2 linked regions of the Saccharomyces cerevisiae S288C genome follow. The protein of the gene in region 1 interacts with the protein of each later gene in a biochemical or structural test. Each region holds a gene or a part of one and is shown in the gene's direction. Other genes may lie near its edges.

Region 1 (7,910 bases):
AAAGATAAGGAAAAATGAAAAAAAAAGCGTATAGGTGCTAAGAAGAATTAAGTATCAAAAGGTAGCAGGCATTTATGTTATATATGCAACTTCGGATTTCGTTCAATACATCTTGACCGGTCTCCACTGTTACTGGCATATTTCTCGGGTTTTTCCTTTTCACCACAAGGGAAAAAAAATGCGTTATGTAATTTCACCAATATTTTTCCCGTCCTGCGTGCTCGCACAATACAATAGGGTCATGTCACGTAATAAGCAACGTGCGCCGCATTTTTTGCCCTTTAAAGGGAAACGCGCTTTGTTCTTTTCTTCTTCCTTTTCACATAAGGGAGAGTCGGCTACCAATGTCGATGGAATTCTCACCATTGGGCATCTCACCGTTCCTATCCTTCTGGAACCTATCGTAAATCCCCCTTAATTTGACCAACTCACTTGTTGAAATACTAGGTTTTGTCTCTTGACAGGCTTCCAATAAATCGTTTATTGTGACCACAGCTGTCAGCTCAGAAGCAGCTGAAGTGCTTGTCTTTGTCTCGTGCACCACATCTTGCTGCAATAGAGTCTTTAGCCGTAGTCTATTTTCTTCTCTACGCCCGTGCTCATTGATACTGAAGTATTCTATATTATCATTGCCGGGTACCACTTCCGATTGGTCTGCAGCAGACAGCCACCTATGTACAGATTTCAAATAAGCATTGTAGCAGAGCCCCTGTAAATCAGCACCCGAAAAACCAGCTGTCTTTTCAGCGATCAACTTCAAGTCTGCATTTTTCTCCAATGCAAATTTTTTTTGTCCCGTATCCTTGTCTTTTGAATTGACGATAGCTTGCAAGATATCTAACCTCTCTGATTCAGTCGGTATATTACAGATCACACTTTTGTCTAATCTTCCCGGTCTTAACAATGCGCTATCAATCAAATCAGGTCTACTTGTAGCTGCTAGTATATATACACCATCAAGGCCCTCGGCACCATCCATTTGGGTCAATAATTGATTGACTACACGGTCTGTGACACCAGTGGAGTCATGCCCTCTCTTTGGCGCAATAGAATCGAACTCGTCAAAAAATAGAATACAGGGTTTGACGGACTGTGCCCTTTCAAACAATTCTCTTATGTTTTGTTCGCTGGCACCTATAAACTTGTTTAAAATCTCTGGTCCCTTAACGGAGATAAAGTTTAACCCACATTGTTGTGCCACGGCGCTCGCCAGAAGCGTTTTACCACAACCAGGATAACCGTAAAGCAAGATTCCTGATCTCAATCTTAGGGGACAATTAACGAAAATAGGCTCATATTTTGTGGGCCACTCTAAGGTTTCTAGAAGGACATCTTTGGCATTTGCTAAAGCACCAATATCCCCCCATTTGATGTTCGTTTCTTTTGTTAGCTTTACTCCACGCAACGCAGATGGTGTAAACGCACTAAGCGACTTCGAAAAAAGTTCCCTTGTTACAACATTATCACAATCTCTTTCCAACTGCAAGTCGTAGAAAATCTTTTCTGTGAATATTTCCAAATCTAGTGGCGAAAATCCTTCTGTCTCCAACGACAAATCACTGAATTGCAAATCTCGATTTAGTTTCATGATCTGGTTTTTCGAGAAAAAATACTCCAGTAACTTCGCTCTTGCATGTTTGTCAGGTGCTCTCAAAGACCACGTCTCTGAAACAAAATGCTTATCAAACAATAGCGGATTAATTTGAGTTTTCTGCTTGCCTGAAAATAAAACTCTGATTCGTTTATTATCCTTGTTAAATATCTTTGTCACCTGATTGATGAAAAAATTCAAAAGTTTGCTTGCATTATCCCATTGGCCATTATTAGAAGGATCTCCGTCATTGGCTTGAGGTTTTCCAAATAGAGCCTCAACGTTATCCAACACAATCAAAGAAGGACCATACCAATAACAAAAAGAACACCATTCCATAATTAATTTTTGGGTTTTATCTAAATTTGATGTCTCGTGCAATGTTTCACAATCCGCATATTTAACGAAGATGTGATGATCTTTTTCCACTTCATTTATAAGCTCTTTTAATAACCTTGTTTTACCGATCCCTTGCTTACCATCTAATATAATAGCTGGTGTGGCAATAATAGGCGATGTCAAATAATTGACCATTTCTTTCTTGATACTATTTACCGTAATGAAATCATCTTCATCTTTACTAGTGCGCGAAACTTCGCCAGTTTCTTTGACGTGGTAATGTTTAGGCAAATGCCTTTCGATAATATCTTTAACTTCTTCTTTACCCATTTGGGTTACTTTCCATTGAACGGATTCATTGGAAATTTCATTCAAATTACACAACTGCTGCTCGGATTCACCTTTTTTTATTTCGATTATAATTTGCTCTGTTGGAAGTATTAAGTTATTGGTCAATAAGCTCCCGCCCAACAACTTAGAATACTGATCCCCACTCTTGGTAGGAACGTCCTTGCCAAAATATTTGATATTGACTGTTGCATTTCTTCCGGATATTATATTTGCTTGATTCATTTGTAGAAACTCTAGTTTGATTTTTGCTCCGTTCATTGGGTGCGTAAAGAATGCATCCCAAAGATGAGAGCTTAATGCAATGTGATTTTCGGGTATCTGACTATCACATTTTATAAAAACCCCAATCTTCTTCGAAGGGATACCAACTGATTTATTATCTGAATCGCTTTTCTTGGACTGCCTTAAGCTACATTTTACGATAGAAGCGTAGCCCTTCTGAGAAGGCAATTGTGCCCCGTCACTGATATATACGACAAAAAGGTTATCTTTAGGGAAGTCCATTTTGCACACAGTACTCCTCAATATTACCTTCTTTAAAAGTTGGATAGCCCCATTTTTTAGTATTGTCTTATTACTATGACCATACTCAGCCTTCACCAAACGTGTTTTATTGACTTTTGGTGCCACAACAACCAAGGAACCATCTGTGATCCTCGCAGACTTCATTGATGGCTCCACCCTGTCAATTTTGAACTTTGTAACAATTCCTTCCAAATAACAAATCAAAGTCTCACCTGGGGTAACTATACGGGTTTGGTGCAAAATCTCACCATTTTGGAACCTCATCGCATTGGCATCGATAATTTCCCAATCATCACTCGTTTCTGGCGTGACATACACCTCCGTAGCCAGGTGTGTGTGGTCATATCGCTGGATGTATAAGTCCACCAATGGAGACTTTTGATTTAAATCATATACTGTGGCCAAAACAGGATTGATAAGAACAACATTCTCACTCGATCCAGAATCATGGCCATCCCATCCAAGATGAACAATAGGTATATCTGAATTATGAGAATGGACTGCTATACCGAATTCCTGGATAGCGTAGTTGGTTGACTCTAACACGTTTATAATTGAATGCGGTAACCTTAAAAAGTTTCCTACTATGGCATTGGAGAATTGGATTCTCAGATTCTCAAACTTCAACCTCTTGGTCGTCGTCATTTGAAAGAGCAGTTCCTCAGGTGTTTCTTGTTACTGCCGTCCCTTCCAGAAGAAATTCGACGATGACAATAGTCGGAGAGATATTCCGGACCTTTATAATTGCGGCTACGCACAAGAATAAATCGCGATAGTAATCGGATATAAGACAATAAAGTCCAGCTAACTTGGTTGGAGAATTCGACAGATTACCATGAATATAGAAATCGATGTTTTTTTTTGTCCACGCCGATTGATCAGCCATTTTTTTTTATCAGGGTCGCAACTGCCCTGTGCAAATAAGAAAGCCTGAAATGGTTGCACAAAGACCACAAACAAGGGCATACGCCAGTACAGTATTATGGACTCATGCCATCGAGGTTACATAGAATTAGTTTAAACAAAAACCAACTATCCTCTAATATCCATGGTACGAGTATATATAATTGTATGAAGTGTAAGAATATGATATAAATAATGAGAGCACTCATAGAGAGTAACGGCGCTGAATTGTAAGAACTGTCACGTAGTAACACAATCACTGAAAGCATATAAAGTGAAATGAGAAACGGTAGTAATATCATATGCATTACCAATTCCTTTTAGTGAATTTCCATGTGCCCGAGGGGGGACTTCCAGTATATTCTGTTACATTTAAGTAAATACTTCATCAACAAATAGGGCCCAGCGGTTTCTTACACTAATTATACATTTACAACGTAAATGCTCCAGCTCAAGCATTATTTATATATCTTGTTTTCAAAAGAAAAATATAGCAATTAGACTCCATGGCCAAGTTGGTTAAGGCGTGCGACTGTTAATCGCAAGATCGTGAGTTCAACCCTCACTGGGGTCGCTTATTTTTAACTTTTTTACACTGAAGAAACAAATCAATTCTAATACAATGCCAATGGCTTCAAATCAACCTTTGGTTATAATAGTTAGGAGAATCGATGCTTACATAGTATATTATTTAAACAATTAATTTGATTTAAAAGATTTTTGTTTCCCTTGCTGCTGTCATTGGCTTTCTAAATTACATAAAGCAGATGAAAAGCCACACTATGCTGAAAATAGTGTGTGGATGCATCTACATGATGATGCAACACGAATTGGATTTTTTAGCTTGCTTATAAAACATTTTGGAACTTGCCGTTAATGACTCCGATTTGTCCACCAAATTATCCAACTTTTCACCTCTTTGTAAAACATTCTCAATCGTTTTGTGCAAAACGATTTTCGTCTCATCCAGTTCTTGTTGAACTTTCATGATAGCGTCAGCCTGTGAAGGATCTTGATATTTGCTAATGTAAGTGTCCAGTTGCTTCATTTTCAATGCATCATTGGTCTCAGTCACATCTGCCCACTCTTCCTTAGGATGTGCGACTAAATATTCATCCAATATTTTGTTTAATAGTGTGTATGCTGGTCTGACAGGATATTCTTTGTCGGTGATCAAAACACCACATATGCCCTCACTCCTGGCATAAACGTGGCCAATATAGTTGCCTTCTTCTATACTTTGTCTTTGTCCTGCACCAGTTCTAGAAGCGACCGTTTCAGCAAAAAAAGTCATAAACTGGCCAACACTAGACCTTTCAAAGAAACCAAATTGTGACAAGTCTTTAACTTCACTCAACTCTAGAGCCTTTTCTCCTCCAGAGCGAAATACACCGATGTAGTAGATTCTCATTGCCAAAATAACTTCTCTAGTGATACGTAAAGCTTCAGAAATGCCCTAGCCTGGTCTAACGCAGTCAAACTGTGCCAGAGACTTTTGTATATTGTTCATGTTGATATCTATTGTGCTTGCTCTTGATTTCACACCAAGCCAATCGTTCTGTACGGCACGCCACCCAATAAGAAAAAAAGGGAAAAGGAGCCGAATTTTGGTTTAAAAACATATAATGCTGAAATTGTGGAACACCAATTACCAACTGGAAGTAGGCTCGATCCAAAGAGTGTATATTATCAGTAAAATGCTTCGCAACTTAGTCGTCAGGAATGCGTGCAGAAACAGGCCGTCAATTCAAGTGGCAAGGGGGTTATGCCGACACCAAACAAGACGTCTCATGGCGTCCTCCCCTCAGTTCGGTAGGAACTCCAATCAGGAAAAAACAGCGGGCTTTATAATGGGGATTCTTTCTATGGCTGGTGCTTTATATTTTATTGCTCCTAATAGGAAGCCTCTTTTCGCCTCAAGGAAGGTAGAATCCGATAAAACCGCAGAGGAAGAGCTTTCCAGTGGTGGTGAGCAATCACCAGAAAATGAAGATGACAACAACAGCAAAAGCGATGAAAATGGAGATGACAACGACAGCAAAAACGATGAAACTGAAGCTGGCCCTCAATTAGGGGGTGATAAAATTGGTGCTTCAAAAGTAGCTGAAGATGGTGAATTGGTTGTTCTAGCAGAAGAAGACAACAAGTCTTCCGAAGATAAAGATACTGATGAATCAAAGGTATCAACCAAAGATGATGAGCAATCCAATGAAGACAATGCCACCGCTAACAATCAAAAGGATGAAAACATAAGTTCTGAGAACTCGGAAGAAAATACTAGTGACAAAACACTAGACAACAATGCTGGATCTTCTGAAAAAAAAGATCCAGAACATTCAGATGATGAAAAATCGCAACAGGGACAATCTGATGACAAGACAACTACTGAAGATAATAATGGAGAAGAAGAATCCTCAAAAAAAACTGTAAGTGACTCGGAAAATTCAGCTAAGCAATCTGAATCTAGCGATGAAGAGAAAGAAGAACTAAGAAAACAAGAGGAAAAGCAAATGGGTCCTACTGAAGAAGAGGTTCAACACGAAGGTGCTTATAACCCAGACACTGGTGAGATAAATTGGGACTGTCCTTGCTTGGGAGGTATGGCCCATGGACCCTGTGGTGAAGAGTTCAAATCTGCATTTTCTTGCTTCGTCTATTCTGAAGCTGAACCAAAAGGTATCGACTGTGTTGAAAAGTTTCAACATATGCAAGACTGTTTCAGAAAATACCCCGAGCATTATGCAGAACAACTAAAGGAAACATCTGATGATGAGGAACCTCAAGACAAAGTAAAGGTCAACACAATAGAATCAGCGCCAAATGTTTCAAGCGCAAAGGAAAATGCTGCGAAAAAAGCAGAGCAATCAGATGTGAAAAAAGAACCATTGAATGAGGAATCCAAACCTTAAAATCTCCTGAAAATCTCCCGAACGTAAAAAGTATAAAAGTATAAAGGATGATACATGTAAATACAGTAATATTATCTTAGTTTAATGACTACATATGGTATAATATGTGAAATATACATGAATTAATGCATCTGTGGGGCGGATGAGTCTAGTCTCTGTATGAATCCAGCTATACATCAAATCGTATCCTTTTATTTACAGGGCAAGTTTGTCATATATTTTAAGTTACTTGTAGTTTTTTTCCAGCTCAATAAATTTTTCCCAAATTTGAGACATTGTAAGTTTCTCGAAACTCTTTCTATTATCACGTTCTCGAATGTTGTATTTCTGTAACTGTACTTCCTCATCACCCACGATAATTAAATAGGAATAGTTTTTCAAAATGGCCGACTTGATCCTATACCCTACGGGTTCGTTTCTTATGTCGAGATCAACATTGAAATGCCAATCATTTAAAGGAACTGGTTCCATGTCGTCGGCTTCCAGTTCATTACGTAGTTTTTTCTGCAAGGCAGTGCACATGTCTAGCTGTTGCACATTTTTCGTATTGACGGGAATAATTACAGCTTGGTAAGGATTCAACCAAAACGGCCAACGGCCCTCATTAGAATCTATCAGTAAAGCCATAAATCTTTCGATAGAACCAAAAGTAGCTCTATGAATCATAATTGGCCTCTTGTACGAGTTGTCTTGATCCTTGAATTTCAAATCGAACCTCTCAGGTAGCTGAAAGTCCAACTGAATAGTAGCGACTTGATGAGTTTTGCGTAAATGGTCCGTAACCATTATATCCAACTTTGGACCATAGAACGCACCATCACCAGGGTTCAGTTTCCACGGTTTGCCTGATTCTTCCAAGATTTCCTTGAGTACTTGCTCAGCATGATTCCAAACTTTGAGGTCTCCAATGAAGTGATCCGGTCTTGTAGAAAAGTTTATAAAATAATTGCTCTCTGCTCCAGAACCTCCTTTAACAAAGGGGAAAATTTTGTTGTAAACTATGTCGATTAATTTTAAAGAGTTGAAAATTTCTGATTTCACTTGGGAAGGAGTGCAAAAGATATGACCATCGTCTTGATGGAACTTCCTTAGTCTAGTCAATCCCGACAGTGCACCAGAAGCTTCATTTCTATGTAGTGGTGAAAAATCAGAGAAGCGTAGGGGAAGTTCGTTATACGATCTATCCTTTTTACCGAAGATCAGACAATGGCCTGGGCAATTCATCGGTTTTAAACCGTATTCCTCCTTTTCTTCATCCGTAGTTTCCACCTTAAACATGTCATCAGCATAAT
Region 2 (4,558 bases), on another chromosome or scaffold:
CTCCACCACATTTAGGAATGAATGATAAGTTGATACGTTTGAAGAAATCACTTTATGGATTGAAACAAAGTGGAGCGAACTGGTACGAAACTATCAAATCATACCTGATACAACAATGTGGTATGGAAGAAGTTCGTGGATGGTCATGCGTATTTAAAAACAGTCAAGTGACAATTTGTTTATTCGTAGATGATATGGTATTGTTTAGCAAAAATCTAAATTCAAACAAAAGAATTATAGACAAGCTTAAGATGCAATACGACACCAAGATTATAAATCTAGGCGAAAGTGATGAGGAAATTCAATATGACATTCTTGGCTTGGAAATCAAATACCAAAGAGGTAAATACATGAAATTGGGTATGGAAAACTCATTAACTGAAAAAATACCCAAACTAAACGTACCTTTGAACCCAAAAGGAAGGAAACTTAGCGCTCCAGGTCAACCAGGTCTATATATAGACCAGCAAGAACTAGAGCTAGAAGAAGATGATTACAAAATGAAGGTACATGAAATGCAAAAGCTGATAGGTCTAGCATCATATGTTGGATATAAATTTAGATTTGACCTATTATACTACATCAACACACTTGCACAACATATACTATTTCCGTCCAAGCAAGTGTTAGATATGACATATGAATTGATACAGTTCATATGGAATACGAGAGATAAGCAATTAATATGGCACAAAAGCAAACCTGTTAAGCCAACAAATAAATTAGTTGTTATAAGCGATGCCTCGTATGGCAACCAACCGTATTATAAATCACAAATTGGCAACATATATTTACTTAATGGAAAGGTAATTGGAGGAAAGTCCACCAAGGCTTCATTAACATGTACTTCAACTACGGAAGCAGAAATACACGCGATAAGTGAATCTGTCCCATTATTAAATAATCTAAGTTACCTGATACAAGAACTTGACAAGAAACCAATTACCAAAGGATTACTAACCGACAGTAAATCTACAATCAGTATAATTATATCCAATAATGAAGAGAAATTTAGGAACAGATTTTTTGGTACTAAAGCAATGAGATTGAGAGATGAAGTATCAGGAAATCATCTGCACGTATGCTATATCGAAACCAAAAAGAATATTGCAGACGTAATGACCAAACCTCTTCCGATAAAAACATTCAAACTATTAACAAACAAATGGATTCATTAGATCTATTACATTATGGGTGGTATGTTGGAATAAAAATCCACTATCGTCTATCAACTAATAGTTATATTATCAATATATTATCATATACGGTGTTAAGATGATGACATAAGTTATGAGAAGCTGTCATCGAAGTTAGAGGAAGCTGAAACGCAAGGATTGATAATGTAATAGGATCAATGAATATAAACATATAAAACGGAATGAGGAATAATCGTAATATTAGTATGTAGAAATATAGATTCCATTTTGAGGATTCCTATATCCTCGAGGAGAACTTCTAGTATATTCTGTATACCTAATATTATAGCCTTTATCAACAATGGAATCCCAACAATTATCTCAACATTCACATATTTCTCATTCTCAATCTTCATGGTATCTTTTTTACACCGTATATGATAAAATACAAGTAATATAAATACCAGCCACTGGATGACATTGAAATTTTATTCTAATAAATGCATCAGCTCTTTAAAAACATTGCTATTTAGCTATTTGAAGCCAGAAATTTTCACAGATTACCATCCGATATAGTGTAACGGCTATCACATCACGCTTTCACCGTGGAGACCGGGGTTCGACTCCCCGTATCGGAGTGTTCTTTTTCTTACCTCTTGAAAAAGAGGTAGTAAAGTCAATATAAATTCTTGGCTGAAGTATTTCAATACAATTGGTCAAGGAAGTTATTATTTTTTTAATGACTTATATCTGTCCAACACAACAGGTTACACCATATAATCTCTATTTACTGGACAGGCGGAAATCGATAGTTTAGCTTTCCTAAAAATCGTTATATTATAGAAGCGTCTTGACACGTTTTCAAAAAAGGAAGAAGCAAGAACGAAAAGAGATAAGGATTCAAAAGAAAGGAAGCCCAATGTCTCGCAAATTTGATTTAAAAACGATTACTGATCTTTCCGTCCTAGTTGGGACTGGCATATCATTATACTACCTGGTCAGTCGGCTACTCAACGATGTTGAATCAGGACCGTTATCAGGTAAATCAAGGGAATCAAAGGCCAAACAGTCCTTGCAATGGGAAAAGCTGGTGAAAAGATCACCGGCATTGGCAGAAGTAACATTAGATGCATATGAAAGGACTATATTATCTTCTATCGTTACGCCAGATGAAATAAATATTACATTCCAGGATATTGGTGGCTTAGACCCGCTTATTTCAGATCTACATGAAAGTGTCATATATCCCTTGATGATGCCAGAAGTATATTCTAATAGCCCTTTACTTCAAGCACCTAGCGGTGTCTTGCTATATGGGCCACCAGGATGTGGTAAAACCATGTTGGCGAAGGCCCTAGCCAAGGAAAGTGGTGCTAATTTTATCTCAATAAGAATGTCATCTATAATGGATAAATGGTATGGTGAATCTAACAAAATAGTCGATGCAATGTTTTCATTGGCGAACAAGTTACAACCTTGTATAATATTCATTGACGAAATTGATTCATTCCTTAGAGAACGGTCTTCTACAGATCATGAAGTTACGGCAACCTTAAAAGCTGAATTCATGACTTTATGGGATGGCTTATTGAATAATGGAAGGGTTATGATTATCGGTGCTACTAATCGGATAAATGACATAGATGATGCGTTTTTGAGGAGGTTACCAAAAAGGTTTCTTGTTTCATTGCCTGGTTCTGATCAACGTTACAAAATATTAAGTGTTTTATTAAAAGACACTAAACTAGACGAAGACGAATTCGACTTGCAACTGATTGCAGACAATACCAAAGGATTTTCTGGGTCGGACCTGAAAGAGCTTTGCAGAGAAGCGGCCTTAGATGCAGCAAAGGAATACATAAAACAGAAGAGGCAGCTCATTGATAGTGGTACAATCGATGTTAATGATACTTCTTCCTTGAAGATAAGACCATTAAAGACAAAAGATTTTACAAAAAAATTAAGAATGGATGCTACAAGTACGTTGTCATCTCAACCTCTTGATTAAGGAAGGAAAATTAGAAAAAAAAGAAGAAAGCTTTTTATTCACGCATCATATCATATCAGATAAGCTAGTTTTCACATAATATGTGTATATGCAGTATACTCCTGTACATAACTTCCTTTATTTCTGCTTTATAATTATATACTAGTTATTTTTCTTGGGCCGCTTTTATTACGGCAACTATTCTATCAGGTTTAGTCATAATCTAAATCTAAAGATGGGGAAAAGCCAAAAACACTCAACTTTCAATGAATACAAAGCTTCATGAAAGCAATAGATAAAATGACGGATAATCCACCACAAGAAGGCTTAAGTGGGAGGAAAATAATATATGACGAAGATGGCAAACCGTATGTTGGATTACGCAAAGCAATTCAGGATCTACTGATCCAATCAAGCTTGTGATTTTTTATTAACAAATTCTCTATAATAGTTGCCGATCATGTAACACCCTACTTGACTTTCAGTACGTGACCGGGAAGATATCTAATGGCCTGAAGAACCTCTCATCTAACGGTAAACTAGCAGGTACGGGGGCTCTCACTGGCGAAGCTTCAGAGTTGATGCCTGGCTCAAGAACATACAGGAAGGTTGACCCTCCTGACGTAGAGCAACTAGGTAGATCTTCATGGACGCTGTTACACTCTGTAGCTGCCAGCTATCCTGCTCAACCTACAGACCAACAGAAGGGTGAAATGAAACAGTTCTTGAATATCTTCTCACATATTTATCCTTGCAACTGGTGTGCTAAAGACTTTGAAAAATATATCAGAGAAAATGCACCACAAGTTGAGTCAAGAGAAGAACTTGGGAGGTGGATGTGTGAAGCCCACAATAAAGTCAATAAGAAATTGAGGAAGCCCAAATTTGACTGTAATTTCTGGGAAAAAAGATGGAAGGACGGCTGGGACGAATAAGTACAATCTCAGAATTCTGAAGGAACACATAAAAGACAATTTATACATATTTACAGATTCTCGTGTATATAACACTCCAATCGTATTGATCAGTCATATGTTGGCTTTTTTATTTAGGCTTGAGCTCTAACTTTCCAGATGAATGACTTTTCTACTAATATATGTTAGGATTAATAGTTTTATATGTATAAAAATATTTAGTCAGTATTTAGCTAAAAAGTTTACTTTCAAAGAATTGTCATGTTTGCAGCTAGTGCCTCTGGTCTTTTGAGTATTCCCAGCCCTTGTTTAGAGGTCATCAAGAATGAACTTGAAATTAGCCGTATCAGTGGTATTAACCTCTTCTAAGAAGAGCAGAAAAAGAAAAAAATCTCCGCGACGGGGAATTGAACCCCGATCTGGCACGCGACAAGCGCCCATTCTGACCATTAAACTATCACGGAAGAAATATCTGTGAAATGTGACTCTTATAGCATACTATTTTAGTTATGAATTGTGAA

What was found.
Region 2: the proteins of MIA40 (region 1) and ERV1 form a complex in vitro, tested with the Saccharomyces cerevisiae proteins (9 studies listed by BioGRID, with this or other methods).

The regions. Positions count from the first base shown.
Region 1 is NC_001143.9:70,415-78,324, forward strand, and holds MIA40 (Mia40p), read left to right. Parts: upstream 1-5,406; coding exon 5,407-6,618; downstream 6,619-7,910. Other genes in the region: PEX1 (AAA family ATPase peroxin 1), read right to left, coding at 320-3,451; palmitoyltransferase YKT6, read right to left, coding at 4,518-5,120; threonine--tRNA ligase MST1, read right to left, coding at 6,844-7,910. UniProt on the Saccharomyces cerevisiae protein: Required for the import and folding of small cysteine-containing proteins (small Tim) in the mitochondrial intermembrane space (IMS). Forms a redox cycle with ERV1 that involves a disulfide relay system.
Region 2 is NC_001139.9:540,148-544,705, forward strand, and holds ERV1 (flavin-linked sulfhydryl oxidase), read left to right. Parts: upstream 1-3,405; coding exon 3,406-3,491; intron 3,492-3,574; coding exon 3,575-4,058; downstream 4,059-4,558. Other genes in the region: protein-degrading AAA family ATPase MSP1, read left to right, coding at 2,056-3,144. UniProt on the Saccharomyces cerevisiae protein: FAD-dependent sulfhydryl oxidase that catalyzes disulfide bond formation. Required for the import and folding of small cysteine-containing proteins in the mitochondrial intermembrane space (IMS).